Linked DNA regions of Drosophila melanogaster. The gene in region 2 interacts genetically with the main gene of each other region. Each region holds a gene or a part of one and is shown on either strand. Other genes may lie near its edges. The genes, in order: E(spl)m7-HLH, sc, hry and Sxl.

The links.
Region 1: of sc (region 2) and E(spl)m7-HLH, changing one suppresses a phenotype caused by changing the other (phenotypic suppression), as found in Drosophila melanogaster (one study listed by BioGRID).
Region 3: of sc (region 2) and hry, changing one suppresses a phenotype caused by changing the other (phenotypic suppression), as found in Drosophila melanogaster (2 studies listed by BioGRID).
Region 4: of sc (region 2) and Sxl, changing one suppresses a phenotype caused by changing the other (phenotypic suppression), as found in Drosophila melanogaster (2 studies listed by BioGRID).

The regions. Positions count from the first base shown.
Region 1 is NT_033777.3:26,034,755-26,039,760, reverse strand, and holds E(spl)m7-HLH (enhancer of split m7, helix-loop-helix), read right to left. Parts: upstream 2,724-5,006; 5' UTR 2,599-2,723; coding exon 2,038-2,598; 3' UTR 1,742-2,037; downstream 1-1,741. UniProt on the Drosophila melanogaster protein: Participates in the control of cell fate choice by uncommitted neuroectodermal cells in the embryo. Transcriptional repressor. Binds DNA on N-box motifs: 5'-CACNAG-3'.
Region 2 is NC_004354.4:393,087-398,539, forward strand, and holds sc (scute), read left to right. Parts: upstream 1-2,973; 5' UTR 2,974-3,090; coding exon 3,091-4,128; 3' UTR 4,129-4,411; downstream 4,412-5,453. UniProt on the Drosophila melanogaster protein: AS-C proteins are involved in the determination of the neuronal precursors in the peripheral nervous system and the central nervous system. Also involved in sex determination and dosage compensation.
Region 3 is NT_037436.4:8,672,727-8,680,267, reverse strand, and holds hry (hairy), read right to left. Parts: upstream 4,510-7,541; 5' UTR 4,019-4,509; coding exon 3,920-4,018; intron 2,897-3,919; coding exon 2,801-2,896; intron 2,664-2,800; coding exon 1,845-2,663; 3' UTR 1,015-1,844; downstream 1-1,014. UniProt on the Drosophila melanogaster protein: Pair-rule protein that regulates embryonic segmentation and adult bristle patterning. Transcriptional repressor of genes that require a bHLH protein for their transcription (e.g. ftz).
Region 4 is NC_004354.4:7,093,958-7,100,345, forward strand, and holds the start of Sxl (Sex lethal), read right to left. Parts: upstream 4,097-6,388; 5' UTR 4,044-4,096; exon of another isoform or gene 3,988-4,043; intron 3,812-3,987; exon of another isoform or gene 3,667-3,811; intron 3,110-3,666; exon of another isoform or gene 3,041-3,109; intron 2,979-3,040; exon of another isoform or gene 2,858-2,978; intron 528-2,857; exon of another isoform or gene 1-527. Other genes in the region: CG4615 (uncharacterized protein), read right to left, coding at 5,417-5,698, 5,770-5,989, 6,052-6,242, 6,317-6,388. UniProt on the Drosophila melanogaster protein: Sex determination switch protein, which controls sexual development and dosage compensation in females. Sxl protein is only active in females: it is inactive in males throughout development.

The DNA.
Region 1 (5,006 bases), on a different chromosome or scaffold from region 2:
GCTTGTGCGTGGGCCGCTCTGGCATTGTTATCCTGCCGTGCCATCTACTCGCTTATTGTTTCATCAATGCCAGCAGACGATGATTGTATAAGCCCCTACTCCTGCTCCGACCTCCGAACTGCGAACTCTGAGATCTCCTCTTTCCGTTCCCACAGTGCCCCGTCGACGAGTGTTTATTGGACACAATTAGTGGATGTGGCATATTGGCTTCGTGCCGGGTCGCCTTGGTTGTTCGATCGTTCCATCGTTTGGGCTGTCTGATCTCGGGTTTTTGGGTGGTTGGCAGGGGGACGTGGGTCAAACGGGCGCAGAAAGTGTGCCCCGCGTGCCACACTCGTGGCCGAGGTTGAGTACTCAATGCCCAGGCTGAGGTGAGGTGGGCCTTGTGCCGGAATGTCTACCTATGGGATGCACATAGTTAACTTCCTGCAACCCCCTAATTGGTAATTAGTAATTTTTCACCGGTTAATTGATGTGCACTTTTCAAATATCTTGTCTTATGGTAAATGTGGTTTGTTCAATGTGTGGCTCATCCTAATAAGATTGTTAAAGTAATCATAGGATACAAAAGTTTTCTTTGAATTTAGTTAATAGGAACTTATAATGTCTGGCGTATCTTTCTAAACCCATTTTTAATTAGCTAATATTAAGTGCTTTTGGTTTCGGAATCTTGGGTTTCGCATGCAAGTATGGTGTATTAGAATTCCATTGAGTAAATTTCACTTTCGAGTTAACTTTTATAAACTCTGTTTCTATTAGGAAACTAATCGACCTCTGACATCGATGCCTACCTATGGGATTTGTGTCCCTCCCTTGCAACCGCCTAGGGTATGCTACTTCCTCACTTAATAATTGAGATGGATTTGTATATCTCCCTTACAAATCTTGAGGGTTCTTAATATTGACATTTTATGGGTGGAAAACAACGTCATTGATTATTGTAATGGGGAGGGATACTCTCACTTCTTATAGTATTTTGGGTGTCAGAGGTTAATAATGTGGTATGAATTTGGAATTGAATACACTTACCTATGATTTTACGTAATGCTATTGCAACCCTCAATATGTGATGTAATTTAATTGATTAATTGTAAAAGAATAAATTTTAAGGGATTAAATATAATAGGGTATAATGTGTGATAAGTAATCGAGACGCGTGCTGAAACTCATTTGTATGTTTCTTGACCATTCTTATTGACCTTTTATTGGTGGAAAAATTATAATGCCGCATTTAAGGTTTATAACAATGTATTGTATTGTGCTAAAGGATGTCAAATACTTTCATTTCATAGTCTGTTGACAAAATAGTTACTGAAATAGAATATAAGTAAACACATCGTGCAAATGAAAAATAACGACCATTAAAAATATGAAATTAAATTCCTTTTTATTATTAAATGCATGCTTGACAACTAAGTGCACATTAGTGGAGCATGTTTTGCTATTATGTTTAACTGTTATTGAAACTTGTTATTAATATAGCTCGTTTAGGATAATGATGGGCTTTAAGATAATGAACATAATTTATGGGAAGTCCATTTTTTTACACGTGTCCTAAATAAGCTAGTGCACACGATCGTTTTATTATATTGGACCTTAAAGTTCGCGCATACCAACATTAAATATTTTCAATGGAATCTTCTTCCTATTGGAATTTAAAGACAAATACTGAAGTTCAATATCCCCTATTGGATTGTGCTGTAAAATAGATTCCCCAAATAATAAGATTCTTGTATAATTTCATTTCATATTTTGATTTGTATTTAAGTTTTTCATTTTGTATCTTTTCATATTGTGTTCTTGAGATCTCTTAGCTGGTAAACATTTGTATATATGTAGAGTAAAAAACAGACTTCTGCTCGATTGATTTAAGACAAAAGTTAATAAAGCGTGCCCTATCACAGACTTAACTTAGAAACCTAAAACTTGGTAACGTAACAAATAAATGAGGATCATTGTAAAGCATTTTTTCTAAAGCTGCGGTTCCAATTGCGTGATTGCCCGTCGGGAATTCAGTCCTTCCAAGTAGATCTTTGTTTACCAGGGACGCCACACCTGTCCGGGGCTGCTGATCTGGAGCAGAGACTCGTTGTCGCTGGCATATCCACTGGAAACGGGACTGATGGAGGAGCAGGAGCTGGCACTGGAGTAGGTGCTGGAGCTAGAGCTGGATCCACAGACGATACTGAGTGGAGTGTTGACGGCTTGCGGTTGTTCCATGGGCTGCTCCAGTTGGTTGAGACGCATGCCCAGATGGGTCATCAGTGTGGTTCCAAAAGCCACATCCACTCGGGGAAGGGAGGCCAGGGCGCGGGACACTTCGTTGGCTGCCCGGATGTATCCAGCACGGAAACTCTGTTCGGGATTGGCCGGAACATGCTTCTTAGACTCTTTCAGCTTGCGGAGATGCTGCACGGTGACTTCCAGGATGTCGGCCTTCTCGAATTTGGCATCGCCAGTCTGAGCAACGCACTCGGCCATCAGATCCTTGAGCTCGTCCAGGCACTTGTTGATCCTGGCACGACGCTTCCGCTCCAGCAAGGGCTTCATCACCTTGCGGTACTGATAGGTTTTCGACATCTCGTATTTGGTGGCCATTGTGTGTTTGTTTTGTTTATTTGTTGCGTTTAGGTAAATGGAAGAACGACTTGTTGAAGAACTTCTTCGATCTTTCGGAGGAGGTTATCCTGAGATGTTGACTGCACGACGATTGCGTTCGAAATGTTGCATTCGTCTCCGGTTACCGCTGCTTTTATAGCTGCACGTGCCGCCGCGAGAGCGTCTCGTGCTCAGCGCACGCTGCTCGGAGAAAGAGAGAAGAGAGAGCTGCGGAGCCTCCGAAGAACCACCACCTGCGGAGCAAACTACTTTTACTCAGTCACTGGGACACGATCCTCTCGCCTGCATTTTCGGTGGTGGGTTTTTCTCCACAAACAAGTTTGGAACACACCTGCGGTAAAAATAGTATGAGAAATGTGTTTAAAGCAGCTATAGTTCTTCGAGCGAATATACAAATTTGTTGTTATATACCTAAGAAGTACGTTACGTTTTTAACAATTACTTCAAATGGGTTTCCCTTAAAGCACTTAAATGTCGTTTTATTAAACAAAAAGAAATTAACATAATGTTATACGTTTACACCTAAAAAATTAAATTAGCACACTTCTTAATAGTAGTGATTTTGAAAATATAAACATTATCTAGAACTTTAAATATGTTCTCAGTACTATTGCTATGGCCACTGGTGTTCGGTGTAAGTGAGTCTCGGCAGGGGATGAAGATGCGATAGTGCAGTGGTGGTGGTGCGACGGTGGTTGCACATGCTGCTTCTCTGTTTTCCTTTCCACTGACATTCGAATCGTGGGAAACACTTTGCCCTCAAGTTTCCCACAAGATTTTTCTCGCTCGTTGGTGTTATAAGTTATAATCGGAGGTAGCCCGTGTGCGAGTCCCGAGTCCGAGCTCCGAGTTCCGAGCCCTTATGCACATGGCACAGTGGGCCAAACCGATGAAACACATGCGGGAATTTTGAGGGTGCCTTGCTTGAATGAATTCTTCAAGGCTTTTCCAACTACGTGAAATTTAAGGTTTACGGAATTTACGCATACTGTTATCTACTTGCTAGACAAAGTTTTAGCAATTTCTGTAGGGATCGTGGGAATGCGAGTTTTGGGATGTCGGAAATGGGGTTTTCCAAGGCGAAGATGTGTGCAATTTTGGGACTCGCAGGTTTGGAAATCAGTATCTTACGGATTTTTTGTTGCCTGTTCTCAACTTGCTACGGTTAATTTGAGAACCTCTATTCAAAGTCGTGGGAATGTGAGTTTTCGAATGTGATTTTTGGGGTTTTACCAAACGGAACATGCGTGCAATTTTACGACTTGCAGGTTTTAGAGTAAGTGTTTATGGATTTCTCGATGTGTTTCTACTTGTAAAGAATTTTTACTAAACTATCTGCTATGTTGGAAAGGTACATTTGTTCCTAGAGGTTTTTCTAGGCATATATAGTCCGAGTATAGGGACTTTTGTGAAAGGTGTTTTCTACTTGCTACGGATAATTTTGTTAGCTGCGACGGTGAGTGGGAACCTGAGTCTTGAAAAACATTAAGGTTCGTGAAGGTTGCAGTTTACAGAATATCTATGTATGGGATTACTGTACCCAGATGGGTGAAATAAAGAAATATTTGGAAAAGATGTTCTTGTCAGGTTATGATGTTTAAAAAATTTCTAAAAAAAGAAACCATTTTGTAGTTTGTAGCTAAAAGCATCTAAAGATTGTGACAAGACCCTAAATTGTTTTCAACCAATTTTCGTTCCATTCGAACCACTGTAAATCTGACCGAGCTGCTAGTGCGAGTCACGGGTAGTGCTGAAAAAACTACCACCTGCCCTTTATTTTATTTAATTTTTTCTTGTCCATCGTGGGCCCTACACATATCGCCCTCTCCCTCGCTCCTGCTCTTGTCAATTATGAATGCTGAATTGTAGCTTCTGTTGAACACTTGGGCCCTGGGTTTCGTTTCGGATGGCATCGGTTGGGATCGTCCATCGCTAAGTGGCATACATATACGCGTATGGTATTCCTGCTCACGTCGGGACATCATCATCGTGGGACCCAGGTCCCAGAAAAAGGGATGATTGTTCGATGGATCGACGAGGGACATGCAAACTAAATGACTGTACGGCAAATTGACACACACTAAAGATTAAATGTATCGCATTCGTTAACTATATAAACAATATACGTGGCCGGTTTGAGGAACGCTGGCTGCGGCAGGAAGTGTGTGTGTGCAGTGCACTGCGTGCTGAGAGTGTGCTGAACAACGGGCCGTTACAATTTTTCTGGCGACTGTGAGAAAATTTCTCGAGCTGCACATGGCCAGCTCCGGGCTTTTGTTGTTGTTTTTTCCACTTTTTATTAAGTAGGGGCAACCATTTGGGCACGCATCGGGGTTGGCTTATTGTCAATGCATCGCTATAATCGCTGCTGCTGCTGGGCAACCGAC
Region 2 (5,453 bases):
AAAGCAACCCCTAACAAATGAGCGTGTGTTCATTTTATTTGTGCCCTGTGCTGCGCACGGTTATTTTTCAGCTGCACCAGAAAAAGAATGGTGGAAATCGATGTATAAAGTTGGTTGTCTAAGCCCGTATGCCCTGCTACGTTTGTTCTTCTATACTTTTCAGAGTTCTTTCCTCCGCGATCCAATTCGTTCGACTAAATACACCTGCCACGCGTCGCCATGGTCCAGATATCCAACGAGTCTTAAGGGCAAGGAGGGTGCGACTCCTGCGCATGCTCCTGCATTTAATTAAATTATTAACTACGAAAATGACTGAGCTAAATAAAGAGGGAGAGATACATCTACGCTTCATCAACAGTAAAACGCAAAAATTAAACCACGAGCGTCACTTAGATTTATATTAAAACTTTTGATAATAAAAATGGTCAAAAACATTTACTTAAAATATAAATATTTAAATAACAGAAATTTCACTATATACTCTTGTAATGCACTTATAATAATTTTATATACAACCTATTAAATAATATTTTTACGTGTAGAAATGAACGCGACAACAGAAATATCTATATGCAAGTATACATATACTTGTATCCCTCACTCTTTTTCACTTTTTCTTTTTTCGCCGATCTCCTGCTCTCTTCTGCAGGTCCTGGCTACGAAAACTCGTTTAAATTAAGATTCAACATTCATTTTTGCATTTCAAGTTTCGTTGGAAAAACGCACGCGTCGCTCCACCGATTAGGATATATATATATATATATATATATACCCATATATACCCATATAATGGGTAGGTTATATATCCTGCCTCGTTCCATCCTGCTCCTACCCAATTATCGCAAGGGCCCCGCTCTTCATCTCGCTTACACTTTTGAGTCCTTTCCATTTCCCGTTTTCGCGGTCCGGAACTATGCTTCATATCAAAGTAATTACGCATTTAAATCCTCCAAGCGTTGCGTCTGGAAAAAGGATATAAACAAGGTAGTCCGAAAAAAATGTTTACTGGTTGTCGGGACAACATCGAAAGGTTACTTAACTTGCTTTCTGATGGTTTTCCTGAAGAACAAGTCTTTCGAAATAATAAAAAAAACATTATTAAGTTTCCGAAAATATATAAAAGACTTCCACAAAGATAGAGTTAAATTAACAATATTATATACTAAAGGAAATGAAGCATTTATGAAATATAAAATTTAAATCATTCAAAATTAAAAGATTCCTACACTAGGTACTATAATTTTGAAGGTAATATCCAATGCTTGTTCAAGGTATGAGTGGCATTTACATGCAAGCGGTGACCGGAATTGGACCTATGATTAATCAATTGTACCGAACACGCGATTATACCAACCTTGCTTATGACTCTCCGCTTCAAGGAAAAAAGGATCGCGTATATGCATTATATGCATTCCACTTCAGTTAAATGTCCGCATACACCATAGATCACACAGTTCACTGAGTGGAGTTTCTAATGACGACTTCAACCCTATTCTAGGCATGTCACCGGCATTTCTCCCAACCATTTATTAAAATGCTTCAATGGAATTTTGGAAAATGCGAAAATTTAAATAGAACATTGTGCTGCCAAAATTTCTGCAACACTCAAGAACAATGATAGTGTTAATGATGGTAAAATAATGGAAACCAACTACCGATCCCTCCGTTACAATGCAAAAACTAAAGAGTGGAGACTCCAAGCGAAGTTCAGCATGCAAAAAAGGTATTGGAAATGGTGAAAGGATTTTATTTATAGGAACAACACAGAGAAGCGCCGTTTGCTGGTCATGGTTGAAAAGGTTTTTTTGTTATCAGGATTTCGGTTTTCGCTTTGGTTTTGGTTTCGGATTCGGTTTTTGATTTTGGGATCCGGGGATCTAAAATTTGCCAAATAGAAGTGAAGAAGTGCTATTGCTGATGATTTGGCAAAAGAAAAATGCTGGCAGAAGCAAACGAGGGTAACGAGTTGAGGACAATAAAAATATTACACCTGGTCGCCGATTTGGCATCTTTTCACTCGCTCATCGATTGATGATCGTGACAAAATGAACCGATTTTTGTGAACAGAGCGGAAGTTACAATTTACAGTCGCCGTTTAGCACGACACAGTGGCCAATGGCAAGTTACAACAGTCTGAAATAATCAATTTATTATTTCAAAGAAGATGTATGAAACTTCATGTATGTCTAGTATTTCTTTACCTTAGACCGCATTATGTAATAGAACAAATAACAAGTATACACCGTTAAAAGTCAAATGTGTGAACATTTAATCAAACCCAGAACTAAATTATTCCCAAACAAATTAATATATTTAAAGCAACATCCCAGTAGTTCTAGAAAAAACACAAGTAGCCACAAACAAAGAACCGCAGTTTTCACTGCAAACTTCCTTCTAGAACTTGTGTCACATCCCTTTGATTTACTTAACAAAAAATTGTGATCCTTTTGATAATTTAATTGGAGAAATAAGTGAAATTGTTTGAACACCTTTAGGGAGCGTACTCCGAATGTCTAATAAGGAGGATCCCAGGATCTTCTGTCGATCCCTTGGATCCGTCCGGCGCTAATGAATAGAAGCGTGCGTGAGCTGCACATAAAATTGGCGATCGCGACTTTTGCTAAGTTAATTAACACAGAAATCAAATTGCTGGCGTGCCGTAGCAAAAAGAGCCCTCACTCAGATACCTTGATCGTTTTTCGATATTTCGAGTTGATATTTTGAGTTTAAAATTTGAGTGTTTCTTTTGGACTGTCGAGTGAGAACAGTTTTCCTGTGGGATACTCGAGTACCTGAGACAGAGAAAGAGAGAGAGACTACCTGTGGCTCACTCACTTCGAGTTCCCTACCTGTGCAGGTAGCTCTTGCCGTCACTCTCTCTCTCTCTTTCTCTCCGATTCTCTCGCCCGTTTCTCTGCCTGAGTGTTGTGCAGAGAGTTGCATAAAGGGTACATAACGCGAGGGTTTAGGACGAAGGGACTCATTCTTGTGTAAGGTGTCAAACGATCAAGTTCAAGTATTGTACTCTGTTCATTTATTTTTTTCTGTTGATCGTTATCCGGAAAGTTAAAGAAAGCTCCGAGTGTGTTAATGAAAAATAATAATAATACAACGAAAAGCACTACCATGTCATCGAGTGTGCTGTCCACCAACGAAACGTTTCCAACGACCATCAATTCGGCAACGAAGATCTTTCGTTATCAGCACATAATGCCAGCCCCTAGTCCATTAATTCCCGGTGGCAATCAAAATCAACCCGCTGGCACAATGCCAATTAAGACTCGCAAGTATACACCAAGGGGTATGGCACTGACCAGATGCTCTGAATCAGTATCATCTCTATCGCCTGGTTCCTCGCCGGCTCCATATAATGTAGACCAATCCCAGTCGGTCCAAAGGCGCAATGCTAGAGAACGAAATCGTGTAAAGCAGGTGAACAACAGCTTCGCCAGGTTGCGGCAACATATACCACAATCCATAATCACGGATTTGACAAAGGGTGGTGGTCGAGGACCTCACAAAAAGATCTCCAAAGTAGACACACTGCGCATTGCCGTCGAGTACATCCGGAGGCTTCAGGATCTGGTGGATGACCTAAATGGGGGCAGCAATATTGGTGCCAACAATGCAGTCACCCAGCTTCAACTTTGTTTGGATGAGTCCAGCAGTCACAGTTCGAGCAGCAGTACTTGCAGTTCCTCAGGGCATAATACCTACTATCAAAACACGATCTCTGTCAGTCCTCTGCAACAACAGCAGCAGCTACAGAGGCAGCAGTTCAATCACCAACCGCTGACAGCGCTCTCATTAAATACCAACTTGGTGGGCACATCCGTACCAGGTGGAGATGCAGGATGCGTATCCACCAGCAAAAACCAGCAAACCTGCCACTCGCCAACATCATCATTCAACTCCAGCATGTCCTTTGATTCAGGCACCTACGAAGGAGTTCCCCAACAAATATCCACCCACCTGGATCGTCTGGATCATCTGGACAACGAATTACACACGCACTCCCAACTTCAGCTAAAATTTGAACCGTACGAACATTTTCAATTAGACGAGGAGGACTGCACCCCCGACGACGAGGAGATTTTGGACTACATCTCTCTATGGCAGGAGCAGTGACTTAATCCCCAAAATTTACCACCACGCCCTATTTTCTTCTAGTCAATGTTGAGTTGAACCAAGTGCCTCAAATTGTAAATAACACTAATACAAAAACAACATACCCCCAATTTTTTTTTCTTACTTTAAGCTATTTTTTTACATTGTTAAGAACCACGAGACCAGTTTCAAATTTATATATTTATGAAATAACTATAGCATGGAAACGAAAACATATTTTTTTGCTAATACAATTTTATGTTAATTAGTTTTTGGTGGAAAAATAAAATGAAAAAATTAAACGAAAAATCATATTTAAGTTCTTTTCTCAAAGGGGATCCATCTATTGATCAGGTTTGTAAAACATTCGGGTACTACTTGCATTGCCTTGCAGTGCCGATGGGACCATGTGCAGCCGTTATGTACAATTAAGGTTGCTTTGCATTGGTTTTACAAAATCACTCTTATATCCAAAAATCATTAATACGAATTACAGATAACGCAAAACATAGATCAGTATTTGGTTTTAGACCAGTAGTTTCCTATTTCTTCAGGTAGTTTCTAAGAATGTCAAATTATCGCAGGTAAGACGATGACACCTGTGACACGTGCCACGAGGTTACTAGTTTAAAAGGTTACTAGTTTTACAATTACGACTTTGAAATTCAGATCAGATATTGAACTTAAAAAAGGAAAAGTGTCGAAAAAGCAATTTACAATTTATTCAATATAAGAGGAGTTCGTATTTATGTATACATTACTACTTAAATATATAAAGTGAGGTAGTTTTAACCCGATCAACACTTTTAAGACTTTTTCTTTTGAATTTGCTCAGCTTAACTATAGTTCCTAGTATTCCCTATAATGTACGGCCTTACAAAAAAGTATTTTACCCACTTTTTACACTTCTGAAAAAGTTAAATGCAAACACCTTACCCCAAACAATAACTAAGTTCTTCACTCCCACGCACCGTTGAGATGTCAGTCCGTTGGAATAAACCTCTTCCACTGGCCAGACAATAAATCACGTTGCATTAGAAAAACAAACGCATGGGAGAATGCGACTATAGACTATATTTTGACACATTAAAGGGCATCACAGACAAAGGACCTCATTGTCCTTAGGATCGCTGGATGCTCCAAAGGAAGTGATAAGGGATAGGGGATCTTTTCTTTCAATGTCAACGCTGACACTTGACAACTCAATGCAATTGTTTCGAATCATGAAAATGGGTTCTGGAATACCATTATTTTCTTTTGCGAGACTCTGTAGGCAAGGCTTAACGTTCAGCTCCGGAAGAACTTTCACCTTTCCTAAAGAATCTAAAGAAAGGCAACCTTTTTTT
Region 3 (7,541 bases), on a different chromosome or scaffold from region 2:
ATTCACCAGCAAATGGAAAACAATTTTATTCACTTATCCGCTTTATCGCACTCATATTATCAGCATGATGCGGTATTTTTTCCGCAGACTTCGCGGAAACTTTTGTCACGAGCATGACGATTAATGGCCCAGGGATTTGCTTAGATTAGAGTGGGGGCACTATGAGAATTGAAGGGCGTGACTCGGTTGCTACTGGGTAAGAGATTTCCCTAATGGTTGATAAACTTGTATATATCACTGGATTCGAGTGGTTAGTTCCAGGGAATTTCCAAATGTATCCGTAGCTATCGGTCATCCATGATCCATGGCGATATCCGATTTAGTTCCAACTAACGCGAACCGGATCGACTTTCCTGCGGCTATAGTGGCCAACTTCTTGACATTCCATATCCCTAAGAAATTCGGTATTTTGCTGAATCGTTAGCTAATGGAATTTCGGATTTATTGCAATCAGAGCTAACCTGCCTTGATTTTAAAATATACCCTTGTGCGCCTTAACTTTTGCTGATCACTTCGATTGGAATAACCAATGATTAAATTGCAAAATATTTTAAAATATTATCGATCAAAGGATTATAATAAGTATTTATTTCGTCACAACTGTTTCGAATTACTGGCCTATCGAACGGATGTGTGAAAATCAAGGCATTCCTATATAATGTTTATGATGCACATATATCTATATCCGTTACGGTCTGGCCACAGAAAAACCTTCAACTCGTCGTGCCGATTATATTAGCAGAAACGGACATAATCGAGCCCCTTAAAACGTAGTTGTATTATCGTCGAAATCCCCGCCGATCCTCTCCAGCAAAATGAATTTCACCATTGGCATTATAATAATTAGCGTCGAAATTTGCTACGATAAGTCGGGGGGCTCGATAAGTTTCCTGTCACTCAAAGCGTTTGACCTCTAAAACAAAAAAAAGAACCATAATGGGACTTTCACCCGAATGAAAAAAAAACCCAGGAAAAGATACCCCAACCACAATAACAAATCCGTTTTGCGTATTTGATTTTTTAGTAGAATCTTTTAAATTTATTTCTTTTTAGTGTGTTGTTTGTTTGTTTTTTCTTTCTTGTTGATTTTTTTGCTTTTGCTTGCATCAAATTCTTGTTTTGTTTTCTTAGAAGCTCATTATGTTCACTATATCACGTGGCCTTACGAATAGATTTGTGTGTTTTATAAATATAATTATTCTTTGATTAGACTTAAGAGCGAGAGAAACCCTAAGCGGCTTAGCTGGCTATGGTACAAAACCTATACTTAAATGGAGATGTACGACTATGTGTAAGAGTTATGCTTTTGCGTTTATCTTTTTCATAAAAAGTATTTCAGCTTTTCAGGTGCTTATTTTCGCATTTTCATTTTCTGTGTTTGGAAGACTTTTGCTGATTTGCTGTTATTCAAAGAGTAATACATGATACATGAGGCAATTCAACACCAAGTACTTGGACTGAGGTAGTTTGGCGATGTCCTGGTAGAATACCGTTCTCTCAAATCGATTACATAATATAATAATAAATAAATTATAACAACGTTTGCGTGTGTGTGTTTGTGTGTGGGTGCGTCTGATGAAGGTCCTTAGCCTCGTCGACGGGTTTCCAGGATATAAGCCAGGAAACTAAGCCAACGAAGTTGTGAACCGAGTTTAGGATTCGCATGTTTGCAACACTTCAAAGCAACATTTGCGCAATCCCGGCGAATGATGTGAAATGTCTACGCGCATGCGCACAACGCCTGCGCATGTGTGCGAGTTGGATGAGTTGTGGGGGGTCAGTCTTAAAAGCGGGAGATTCGATAGGGGTGGCTATGCTATATGATATGCATATGCAGACACCCTCTACCAGGGCCGCCAGGGCTGCTCCTCCTCCTTGATCTGCTTCTTGATCACCAGCGACAGGGGCTGCTGCTCCATTGGCACGCGCTGGATGACCGATGGCTTGATGTCCATGGGCTCGTAGCTAGAGTTGGCCGGACTGGGCGGGGCGTAGCTACAGCTGCTGCTGCTTCCGGGCGCCGACTCGTATCCGGCGGAGGAGTGCGAGCTGGCGGATCCGGTGCTGGCTGTACGCTGGGGCATGCTGACCAACATGGGTTGCTGTTGTGCTGCTGCTGCGGCCGCTGCTGCTGCTGCGACGGCGAGTTGCTGCTGCTGCTGTTGGTGCTGCAGCAACTGTTGCTGCTGCTGCTGGGGCAGGCTCTGGGGCAACACGAGGGCAATGCTACCGTTGGGCAGCTTGGTGGGGATCACCTGCATGCCATTGGGCAGAAAGTAACCGCTGGCCGTCTGCTGGATACCAAAGAGGTAGGGTGCCGCTGCTCCCTGCTGGCTATCCTGCTCCGGCGAGCTGGGCGGCGAGGGCAGCATCTGGGCGTGGATGGACTGCTGTTGCTGCTGGCGCTGCTGCTGGTGCAGCTCTGTCTTAACGCCATTGATGCAGTTGCTCAGGTGCTGTAGCAGGCGACGACGCTGGGCGGGCTCGATGCCGGGAAAGCGGCTAACCTCGTTCACACAGTCGGCGAATCCGGCCTTGAATTTGTTCACAATCTTGGGATCGGCGGCCTGCTGCATGGCTGCCTGCTGGCGCTGCAGCTCCTGCAGATGCTTTACTGTCTTCTCCAGAATGTCGGCCTTTTCCAATTTGGAGTGGCGAGCCGGCTAAAAGTAGAGAGAGAAAATAATTTGGAAATTAGTCAATGATTTAAACTTTTAAAAAATATTTGAGATAATTTCAAATATGTAGTTTTTTTTATTTTATTTGTGGCTTTAAACTTATATTTTTGTCAGATACTTACGTCTTTTTTGGTGGCATCCAGAATCAGAGTCTTGAGTTCATTGAGACAGTTGTTAATACGGGCACGTCGGCGTTTCTCCATGATGGGCTTGTTCGACTGCAAGAGGCAAGAAATGGAAAAAAAAAACATCGATTAGTCACGGCTTTTGCACGGCTAATTTGACCTCATGCAACGACCCAAAAATAGAGGAAGCTGCATGGGTCTTCAATTGGATTGGAGGAGATCAAGGAGGAGGCGGCGTAGGTTGGGGAGCGGATTGACTGGCTGGCGGCCAAATTTAGTCGCACGGCGCGTGCTCTATTTATAGCGCCACTCGGCCGAGGCATTTATTTAAAAATAGTTTGGCGGTTATAAATTACAGGCAGTGGCTATAAATAAACCAACCAGGTATGAGCAAAAATAAAGAGAATGTGACAAGGTCAGAGCGGGAAATTCGAAGATGCCATAACTAGGTACATTATTATCTAGGGAGCACAAGTTGCCAAATTTGGACTCGCATGAAGTCAGTTTTTTTTTTTCTGGCCAACTCATTGAACCGGTGCCGTTCGAATGGCCAAAAACGGCGGCTGATGACCGACAATTGCAGCCACCACGCGACGCACGCGCCAAGTGGCAGCCAAATCCGAATCCGAGTCCGAATCTGGGGAGCTGGTGGGCAGCTACGCCAGCCAATTTTGGGCGGCACTCATGAATGGATGGAGCGTGTGTGTAGTCGGAGTAGTATGCCATATGCCATATAGTAAATGCCACCAACGCGACGCGAGATAAATTCGCTTTGTGTTGGCGCGCCGACGGCAGTTGCGGCCTTTTTTTGGTCTGGCTCAGAGTGTTTTTCTTTTTTCGTATTTTTATTCCCAGCCAGCCATGTGGGAGATGGCTAAAAAGGAAATGCATTTGGGCAGCGGGATTGATGGGGCCAGTCGCCCACAGTCGCGAATGGAAATCAACTTGAGCTCGAAGTGGGTGGCTCTCAATTAGGGGAATTCTCGGTTTGGTTCGCTTCAGTTAATCCACAGATTTCGGGGAACTAGAGGTTCTGATTTAATCCATTGACGGGGTTTTTTGTTTTTGGCTTTGGATTTTTTTTTTCGAGTCTTATTTTTCTCGAAAGAAACTTACCCGACGGTCACTTTTGAGCGGCGTCTCCTTGAGCTGGGCCGGCACAACGGCGGTGCCCAGAACGTTGGTCATGTTGGCTGCTGTTACGCCGGTAACCATTTCGGTCAGATATTGTTTGTTGAGTTTGAGGCACAGTTTGGTTTTCACTTGGCAGCAAATCTGAATTTGCTGCTCTTTGCAATATAAGTTCACTGCTTTTTTGCTTTTTTTAGAATAACTCAAGTTGTCAGTTTTTTTTTTTTTCAAGTTCACTTGGTGGTTTCACTTTCGCGCAGCGTCGCAGAGAAGCACGTAAAATGGTATTGTGTCTGGGGGGGTTCTCTAGATTTCGATTCGGTTTATCAAAGCGGAGCGATAGAACCGCACGCTACGAAATACGGCAGGCGAATGAGCAGCAGGTTCTGGCTGCAGTGCGATTAAAAGACCGAAACGACTCGGCACGAAGCAGAAGATCGATCGTTCGGCTTTCGGATGGTTGCGCTATATATATGTATGTATATATATATATAAGTATTTGCTTTACTGCGTCTGGATGTTGCGGAGCGTAGCGGGACTACCTTATCGCTGGGCTCTCGGCGGAAGACTGACGATTGATCGACAGGTTCGTAGGCTAAATCGCCGCTGCGAGACGCGAGCGCGAGCCACACGACCGCACCAATACAATTGCACTGGCATTGCGGCTACCTAGGGGTATACATTATGCGCTACCTGCTCGCTTCAGTGTGTGTGTGTGTGTGTGCGTGCTCACGCTTGTGAGCGGTACCTAAAGTACACACCGCGTTACTCATACGCCCCCGTGGCTCGCGGGAATGGGCATTTCTTCCTTTTTGGAAATCACACTGCGAAACCCCCATTGGTGATCGTCGGTCGGTCGGTCGATCAGCGATCGGTTTGGCTTGACTCTGCTGGGCTCTGCTAACTGAGGGATTCACAAGAGGCTGTGTTTCTGGCTGTGCTGTTGGTGATGGTCGCGGTGGTGTTGGTGTTGTTGCTGCTTCTGCGGTGGTTTCTGGTGGCTCGCCGTTCGTGGTTTGCTGATTCATGCGGCCAACGCGACGACGTCCCATAGAAGGTGAAAATAGCTGGCTATATGACGCCACCCCAGTGCGACAGGTTCGGTTTTTTGTGCTGTGTACTGTGTATCTGCGGCTCGGGGGTCGCTAAACAGTAAACAAGATCACAAGGTTGTGCGCACGCTAGGCGGAAGTGGGTGGTTGGGTGGTTGGGTGGTTGGGCGATCGGGCAGTGGGTGGTGGCTATAGTTATCCCCCTAGCATTTTCCAGACCAGTCTGTACAACCGACTCATTCAGCATGCCGTACGCCTCAATTAAGTGAAGGTCGCCCTTTTGGCTTTTGATCGATAGCCGCCAACGGGCTAAATGAAATGGAAATCGCTGTGGACAAGGCTGCGTGGATCACACGTGCTCCGCCGGACGCTTAGATTCAGCTTGATGGCTTCTACGTGCAGCGTTGGATTTTCACGTTTTTCATATATTATTTGTTGTTTTGTTTTGGAGTAATGATTTATCGAAGGTTGACTATAATTACGCGACACGCGGAATAGTCGGGCATCAGAAAACTAACCATTCATTAGCAGAATGAGAAGAGGGGCATTGCAGTGAAAACTGGGAATATTACAGTGAAAATGAAGCTTAAATTATATTGTTTATTTGGTAGTAAAAAGCCAAAGTGCGTCACACACATTTCGTTACAACCGAAAGTGATATTTTAAATAACTGCTTAAGCCATCTATTATTTACAAAATATGGGTTAAGTTTTAAGAAATGGTAATAACCATGTAATTAGTTTAACCAGGCTGAGCTCAGTAAAGGTAGATGACACATATTTAGGTTACACGATCTATAAAAGGAAATTACGTTATCTTTGACGTTTGTTCTTGGGAAATATTTTTAAAGCCTGACTTGGACTCTGACCACTGATTAGTGAAGTTATACCAAAACCACGAATCGTCAACAAAGTTACATTGGAATGAGTCAGTCAGGCTTTAAACATTCAAGTTGGCTAAAAACGGGTGTTTACAATATTTTTTTTATAGCGAAACCACCTGGCAGTGTTTTTATAGAAACTAATAAAGTTGACTCTAATGAAGATGAGTAAAAAAACGTTTAGAAGTTAATTTGATTTTACTACACTTAATTTCTGCTTAATAATTAAATGAAATTGAACTTAATCAACAATCACGTCTTACAAATATGCATATCTATCGATTCGTGAAAATACTCAAAAAGTTTGGGGAATTTCTGACATTTTTGACGGTTGTCTAAAGTGTTGTGCGTTTTGTGGTCGCCAGAGAAGGTTGTTATGCCGAGAACACATGCCCCAACAATATGGATACATATATATATAGACGGTAGTGGCGGACGTCGACAACACCTTCGCGTTCCAATTACAATTTGGCAGCCGATCAAAAGGCGGCCCGCCCGCGGTCAGCGTCGGCAGAGGCGTTGTCGGCGGCAGAGGCGGCACTTGTGCATGCCAATTTAATTGCAACGAAAAGCAAAAAAGAAAATAAACAAAAAAGAAAAAAAAACGAGAGGTCGGAAAACGTTGGCGGCGTTTTACATCATGCTAGCTGGCCAAAAACAGCCAAAGGTGTGGATGTATCTCACGGATACAACGCTAAAGATACAGTCACAGATACAGATACACTCGCAGTTGTTTGTGCGTTGAACGCCCAATTTGACGCCCCATTGTTGTTGTTGGCGGACCCGATCACATGCAGCTTCTAAAATAAACTGTGGCAAAAATTTATAGTCGAAAAGGCGCAAGCACACAAAAATGTGCGCATTGCTAATTGCGTCTAAAATTAGACAGCGCCAGATCCCCCAGATTCCCCATAAGCCCCGGGAGCCCTGATCACTGAAAACAAAACAAACACGTTGGTGGTACGATAAAGAACCCCTTGAAGGTATTTCGAATCATTTTGGACCATGTTGGTTAACTATTTAATAATCGTAAAGGCGTTGATAATAACATTATAGCATATGTATAATATTATAGGTATTATTATTTGCTTGTATTTTATAAGATCAATGAATTCAATTTGTGTGCCATTATCATTCAAAATGGTTATTCACTAGACTCAAAATACCATATAGTTTTGACTATTAAGTTTAAAATATACAGAAAATCTTATCTTAGATACTAACTATGTTGATATTATTTATATATAGTATCCATAAACTATACTATATATACTATACTATGTATACTGTTGATCGTAGGGCTCTTTTAACAGCAACGTTGCGAGTTTAACAGCGACAGAAACCCCCACGCGCCGCTTTTAACTTAGTAGGTCGGCAACAGCAGCATGTAACTGAAAATAACAGTACTTGGTGGGGGTAGGGGAGCAACTGTTAAGCCCGAGAGTGGGGCAAACAGGGAGAGAAAGAGAGAACATGCGGACGCTCCATGGCCGCGGCGAAAATAAATTTCTAGCCGCGCGCGCCACTCTCGCGATTAAAACGCCATAAAAATCGCCAACGCTGTTAAAAACGCGCGCCACATTTGAGCTATCCGCTGTTTGCAAATGCACTGCCCAAAAATTTTACATACAATTTTCTAAAGATTTCAGCATAAATTTGGTTGATGAATACAAAA
Region 4 (6,388 bases), 6.7 Mb from region 2:
ATTGGTGTTAGTGTAAGATTGGTTTTAATTTTTTTAGTGTATATTTTATTATCATTATCGTTAATTGCAAATTAATTTGACCATTGTACGAGATAAGTATATTATTCTTGTAGGAAGAATGTTTATGAATTAACTTCCAATCTTATCAAGTACCATTTCCAGTGAGCCCTAAGCCCTAGCCATTATTTTTCCACAAGCAGGAAGCAAATCCATTGGATACTCGATACATGAGTATTTGTCCTACACTTTGGGATCCCCCAGCCAAAAATAAGAGCAAGAGCTGGGCTTCCTTCCAAGGAAGCGAATGAGGAACCAAAACTTTTGGCAAACAGAGAACAATCAAAATGGAAAATACGAAGCTGCGAAAAGAGATGCGAGCAGCGGAGAAGGGGGAAGAAGAGGAGCCAGAGAAAACGAGGGCAGCCAAACGAAGGCGCAAAGGGGGGCGGCGGCCAAGTGGGTGGGGCGGCCTAAATCGCATTGGGTCGCTCAGAAACACAAAAACCAGAATAAAAGCCGGCTGGAATGGGGTGGTACGGTCATCAAATTCGAGGGCTGCTCTTTTCCCATGTACACAATATACAGCAAATGCCGAAAAAAAAGAAAGAAGCCCAGGGGAAGGAAAATGAAAATATGTACAGAAATATATAAAACAGAGTGTGTACCTCGCTTTCCAGCGTGAAAACGGAAAATGCGGAAATAGAGAAACGAAAAGCGTCACAAGCTGTGAATACGGAAAAAGCAAAAAGGTGGGGGGAAAATACAAAAGGGTAACCAGAAGGTCGGTCATTCCGAAAATGGGAGAGCCCAGAAATGAAAGAAAATTCAAACATAAGTAATAGAGTACCAAAGACCCATAGACTTTCCATATGCAGATGGGTGAAAGCTAAATCACCATGAAATCAAAAACCAAAATAAAAGAAAGTCCATCACGGACAAAACTTTTGGGGAAAATGCATATCACAATGCGTGGTAATAATATATCCAATGTATCATATTAAAAAATTGAAAACAAATAGTTCAAAATTATTTCTAAATATTACGATAAAATGTTAATATATATGACTTTTTTAGCTGTTTAATAATTCAAAGCAGCAAATAATATTGCAATGATACACAACAGAAAAAAATATTACATAACAATAATAAAAAAAAAACAATGCAGGCTTTCATTGATTTCATTGACACCATTTAGCAGACATTTTTCGGCAGTGTACGAGGGAAAGAGATGGAGAAAGCGCCAGCGAATTGTAAAGCAATAACAAAATGCGAGAAAAACTTTACAGTTTGATAACAGTAGTCTGCTAATTTGGAGCACAGTTGTGTAAATAGAGCAGCACTATTATGCAGTGCTTGAGTGAATGTGTGTTCTAAACAGCTGATAAAAGCCCATTTAAGTACATGAGCTAATGTATACATATATACATATAGAAGATGCATGTACACATCTGTGCATCTAACAATCGCTCAGCTGGGAAAATGAGTCATGTACCCGCATGCATGAATGGATCTCGGTCTGGAAACAAAATCACAGCGGCATTGCCAGACACAATCAACGATCCATCGAACATTCCAGCTGATCGTCCGCTTGGATTGTTATTATACTGTTGTTATTTCAAGTGTATCCAAATGCGCATGTATGTACATATGTATGCATGTATGCTTTTTAAAACATTGAGCGAGCTTAAAAAGTACAGTGAACACTTGACATTGCGGAACCGAAACATATATACTTTCAAGGACGTATTCAACTTCATTTAACTCAGTATTATCTGCCATAAAAACATCGAAATAAGAACATTCAACGCTACAAAATATACTCTTAAATAACGACGCTAAGTAGTTGCATTATCTAGAGACCACTGTTGGGAAGCTTTTATTAACTGAAGACCAAATAAGGTTTAAAACGGGGTGCAACGCTCATGGGAATTGTGTAACGTGCAATTTGCGCAAGGGAATGACCTCAATGGAATGCAGAAATGTGAATTAAGAGTGTTGGTGGAGGTGGGGGTAGTACTAGCTACCGCCATTTCCAATATTTCCAATACGCTTTAAGCGAAGGGAACGATCGTTGCGATGCGACGTCATTGCCAACAGCAAGAAGGGGAATGACCCACCGAGAAGCGGAGATGAAGAGAAAAGGAAATAAATGCAGCTGCCCTCTCCTCACCACTCCACTCCTCTCCCACCAGCCAGCTGCAACTTGAAAAACAAAAAATACGGCAGCTGAGCGTACGATAGAGACAACAACGGAGGGCGAAGCGAACATCTTCCCTTGCGCTCACTACCTGCCTGGAAATATCCAGGATCCCTGATCTTCAATGGAAAAGGGAGGGCCATAAACCGAAAGGCGCGTGTCGCTAATGAGGATCTTTAAAATAATGTTTCGCCAACTAAAGCTATATAAACACTCAACGAAGAAATTACAATTATTTTAATTGCAGAAGCTCTGGGAAACTCCAAAATATGTCATATCTTAACCAGGGACACATGTGTAAGTGAAGTGTACGCCAAAACACGTTGCCTTCGATGATAACAGCTGGCAATGCCGTCGACGTAGGGCGGTCGCCACAGTCGACCACCAAAAAATAGGTACATATCTACTTATTAAAAGCAATCACAAAATACTCCAATTTATGCGCAGCAAGAAACACATGGTGGCATAGTTGGTGAAACAGGAAGTAATATGTATACAGGATATGCGTAAATGTAGGTAGTCGATTTGCAGCGGAACTAAAGGAAGTGAAAAAGGGACACGCGATAAACACTCAGGTAAAGCGAAATCTATTCCAGAATTTTCGGCCCTTCACAACTGGACGCGACTGTATGCATGTGTGTTGTTGTCTTTTTCGCCTACCTTTCGTTATATGTTCTTACTGCCCTTGGGTTTCTCTTGTTGTTTCTTTGCCCCAAAAAGCTGTTTGTATACGAACAAAACCACTTACCCAGCGGCTTAGTTATTATTATTTAGTTAGAGACTAAAATGGAAAAAAAGAATTAAGCACTCACACACACGCTGCTGTTTTTATGTACAACTTACTGTTTATGTGTATGTGCATATGATTTTTGGGCGATGCTTGCATGTTGCTATGTACTACACAACTGTAACGGAAACGAAAAAAAAAAGAAAAAACAAAGTGTAAGCCAGGCGCGTGAATCGCCTTGCAAGTGTGTGCGCGTGTGTTTATGCGTTTGCGGGCATATACACACTCGCACGCTCTCTCACGTAGGCGCAACACACACATATGTATATACATGCGAATGACGAAGCCGCAAGCACAGAAAAAAAAATTAGTACATGAAGTAACAACGAGTGGACGGGAGAGAGAGAGAGAAGGAGTGGGAGAGCGAGCAAAAACGGCTTTGCTTTTGCTTTGCTGTTGTTGGTAGTGGTGGGAAATGCTGAATGGAATTTTACAACATGTTTTCGGCTCGTCAATCGCTTTTGCACTCTTCTTTCAGCTCAATAACTTCACAAAAAACCGTATACAGCAAAAAATAAGAAACAAAAAACAGCGAGTATCTGTATACTGCTCTTTACTCGCTCTATTCAGATGTACATATGTATGTATTTGAGGCCAACAGCAAAAAAAATAACATGTATAACTTGAAAAAAGAAAAGAAAAACTCCAAAAATGCTTGGTTTTTTTGTAATTGTACTACTACAATTGCGATATGATCTATGCGCATTTTCACAATGTCTGCGTGTTTTCCACTATCGTTTCCTCTCCACTTTTCTCTTTTTGCGTGTTCTTTTAATTTCGCTTCGTTATATACACTTCACGTCACGCTAGAAACCCTGTGCATGTATGTATATATATATATCTATATGCATATATATGTACATGCTGCAGTGTCTGTGTGTGTATTGTTTTTTCGATGGGGATTTATTTCTTCTCACACACTTATTCTGTAGCTACACGGATTGCATGGGGCACACAAAACAGCTTCTTTGTCATGATTTTTAAAACGTTTTAACTTATTCACTTGGATCGTGTGTTTGATTTACGTGGCGAGTGTCAGGAGGAGCAAAGAAAAATTACCAGAAAAAAATTCACTGCGCGACTTTCCTTCTTCGGCAACAACAAAGCAGTGTGCACGTTTCGCGGTTGTCGGTCAATTTAAGCTATTTGGGTGGCTTTACGGTGGCTAAACGCGTTTTCGTTATTTTTCTAGGCACTCGGCTGGTCACACTGTTCATTTTCTACACCGCGTTAGTTAAGACTCACTCCATTTAGCGAATACACGAACCCATTTAGCCAAGTTTCACACCTTCGCTTGATTCGTAACGGTCACATAAAATTCAAATATGGGAATTCAAATCAAGCTTGAAATTTTCATTTAAAGAAAAGAAAATAACGAATTAAAATTAGATACAATTTTATGTCTTTTGAGCCCCGTTAGATTTCGTTCATTTAAATATTTAGAATTCTACACAAACAAAAAAAAATTTTCAATAAAATAATATATATATATTTGCAACCAAAAAAAGAATATATGTATATTCATATATTTAAAGCTAAACAAGATGTATGAATAAGCTAAACAAGATACATGCATAACATTGTAAAACGAACAATTATATTTGAGCACGCAACAAACATCTGAGCCCTTTGCTTTCATTTGGAAATATACAATTTATTAGAGCCATTAAAACTAATCGATCTGCACCATAAATACGAGTAGTACACGAAAGCTATATCCGCCGATCGCGAGCCAGGCCCCGAAAATATCAAGATATCAAGCGTATTTGTAAATAGTCACCTTCTTCAGTATCTGCGAACACATCGATTTGTCCCTGAGCTCGGCGATGAAACTGGCCGAAGGGGCTGGACTCGCGGATCGGATGGCCTCTTAATTCTATCTACTTGTGTATATGGGTATATATGGGTATATAATATATCTGTATAATCTGTATAAACATGCATAATGCAATGCGGGATAGGCGGGCTTCTAGTGTTCAAAAGGTTCAGGTCGTTAACTCTCGGATATTTGTACAAGTTTAATATTCGTGTCCTTTGCCTTTTGAGTACGGTTCAAAGTCTTTTGAGAAACACATGGCCAAAACGGGTCGTTATGGATACTAAATATATGAATATCGCTAATAATATCAAGTTAAAGTTGAGAGGGAGAGGGAGAGATGAGCACTCGCACAATTTGAATCTTTGGCAAGACCGCACATACTGATCACAAGAATCGTTTCGATTTAGTTAGTTCGTAATGCTACAACTAGACTACAAGCTAGGCGTCCTCGCTCGCTTAAAATTTGGCTAATTGTGGAGCAGAGACTCGGGTACATCGGGTATATCATAGGAATACGTTACACATGGCTGACAACATCGAATCCCTGTCGTTAAGTACTCTAAGTTCTAAATTCGCTGCATGTTACCACAACTGCTTTGTGGCGCTCGTTTGTTCACGGTGCTGCGGCTCCCTCGCTTGGATATAGATTCACCAGGATGGCGTAATAGTGACATCCGGCGGCCAGCACCACAAACAGATGCCAAATGGCATGGGCCATGGGTATCGTGCCGTCCGCCTTGAAGAATACAATGCCCAGAATGTAGAAGCCGCCGCCGAACTTGAGCTGCATCATACCGTGGAAGTGGTGGCCAGTGAACACAACGACTAGAGCGGGTCCCAGGCCCATCACCAGATAGAAGAACGTCTCCAGACACTTGTAGCGCTCGTGGAAGACCTGTTTTCGCCAAACAAAAGGAAATTTCACCTTAAGGAGCATGTGAACACGGGTGCTGTAAATGAACCCACCTGCTGGTAGGCAATTCCTATGCCCGCCATCAGCCAGATGACCCATTCCATGCAGAAGAGTATGGCCGAATGATCGGTGTTCTCTAGCGTGAGCCAGGGGAAGTACGATCCGGCGATGAACACATAGATCATCGCCCTGTCGCAGCGATGGAGCACGTTCTTGAGCCCCTGATACGTCTGCCAGCCGAGACAGGGCCAGGCCTTGACATTCTTCGGTGGTCTAGTGGAGGTATACAAAAATGTACAAATCAAATGGTTAAATCAGCCTGTGTGCGCACTCACTTGTGCTCGGCGCAATAGCAGGAGCAGTGGAAGAAGGTGGACACCGTGAAGAGCATGCACAGGGCTCCGCCGTAGACCCAAGCAACCAGATACTGGCTGGCGCTGGAGGAGCGTTCAAACAGCTTGATGGCCGCAAAAACGGCGGGCAGTATCCAAATGCCGTGAGTAATCACATTGGCCACCTGCTCGATCTGTTTTTTTTTGGATAGAGTAAATGTGGTTTAGGCGTCAGGTGTACTGTACACATACAATGTATAGAACTCACCTCCGTTGGCTGGTAGGCACAGCCGGGCTTCGCCTTGGCATTCTTCCACTTGACATTGCGCAACTGCAGTTT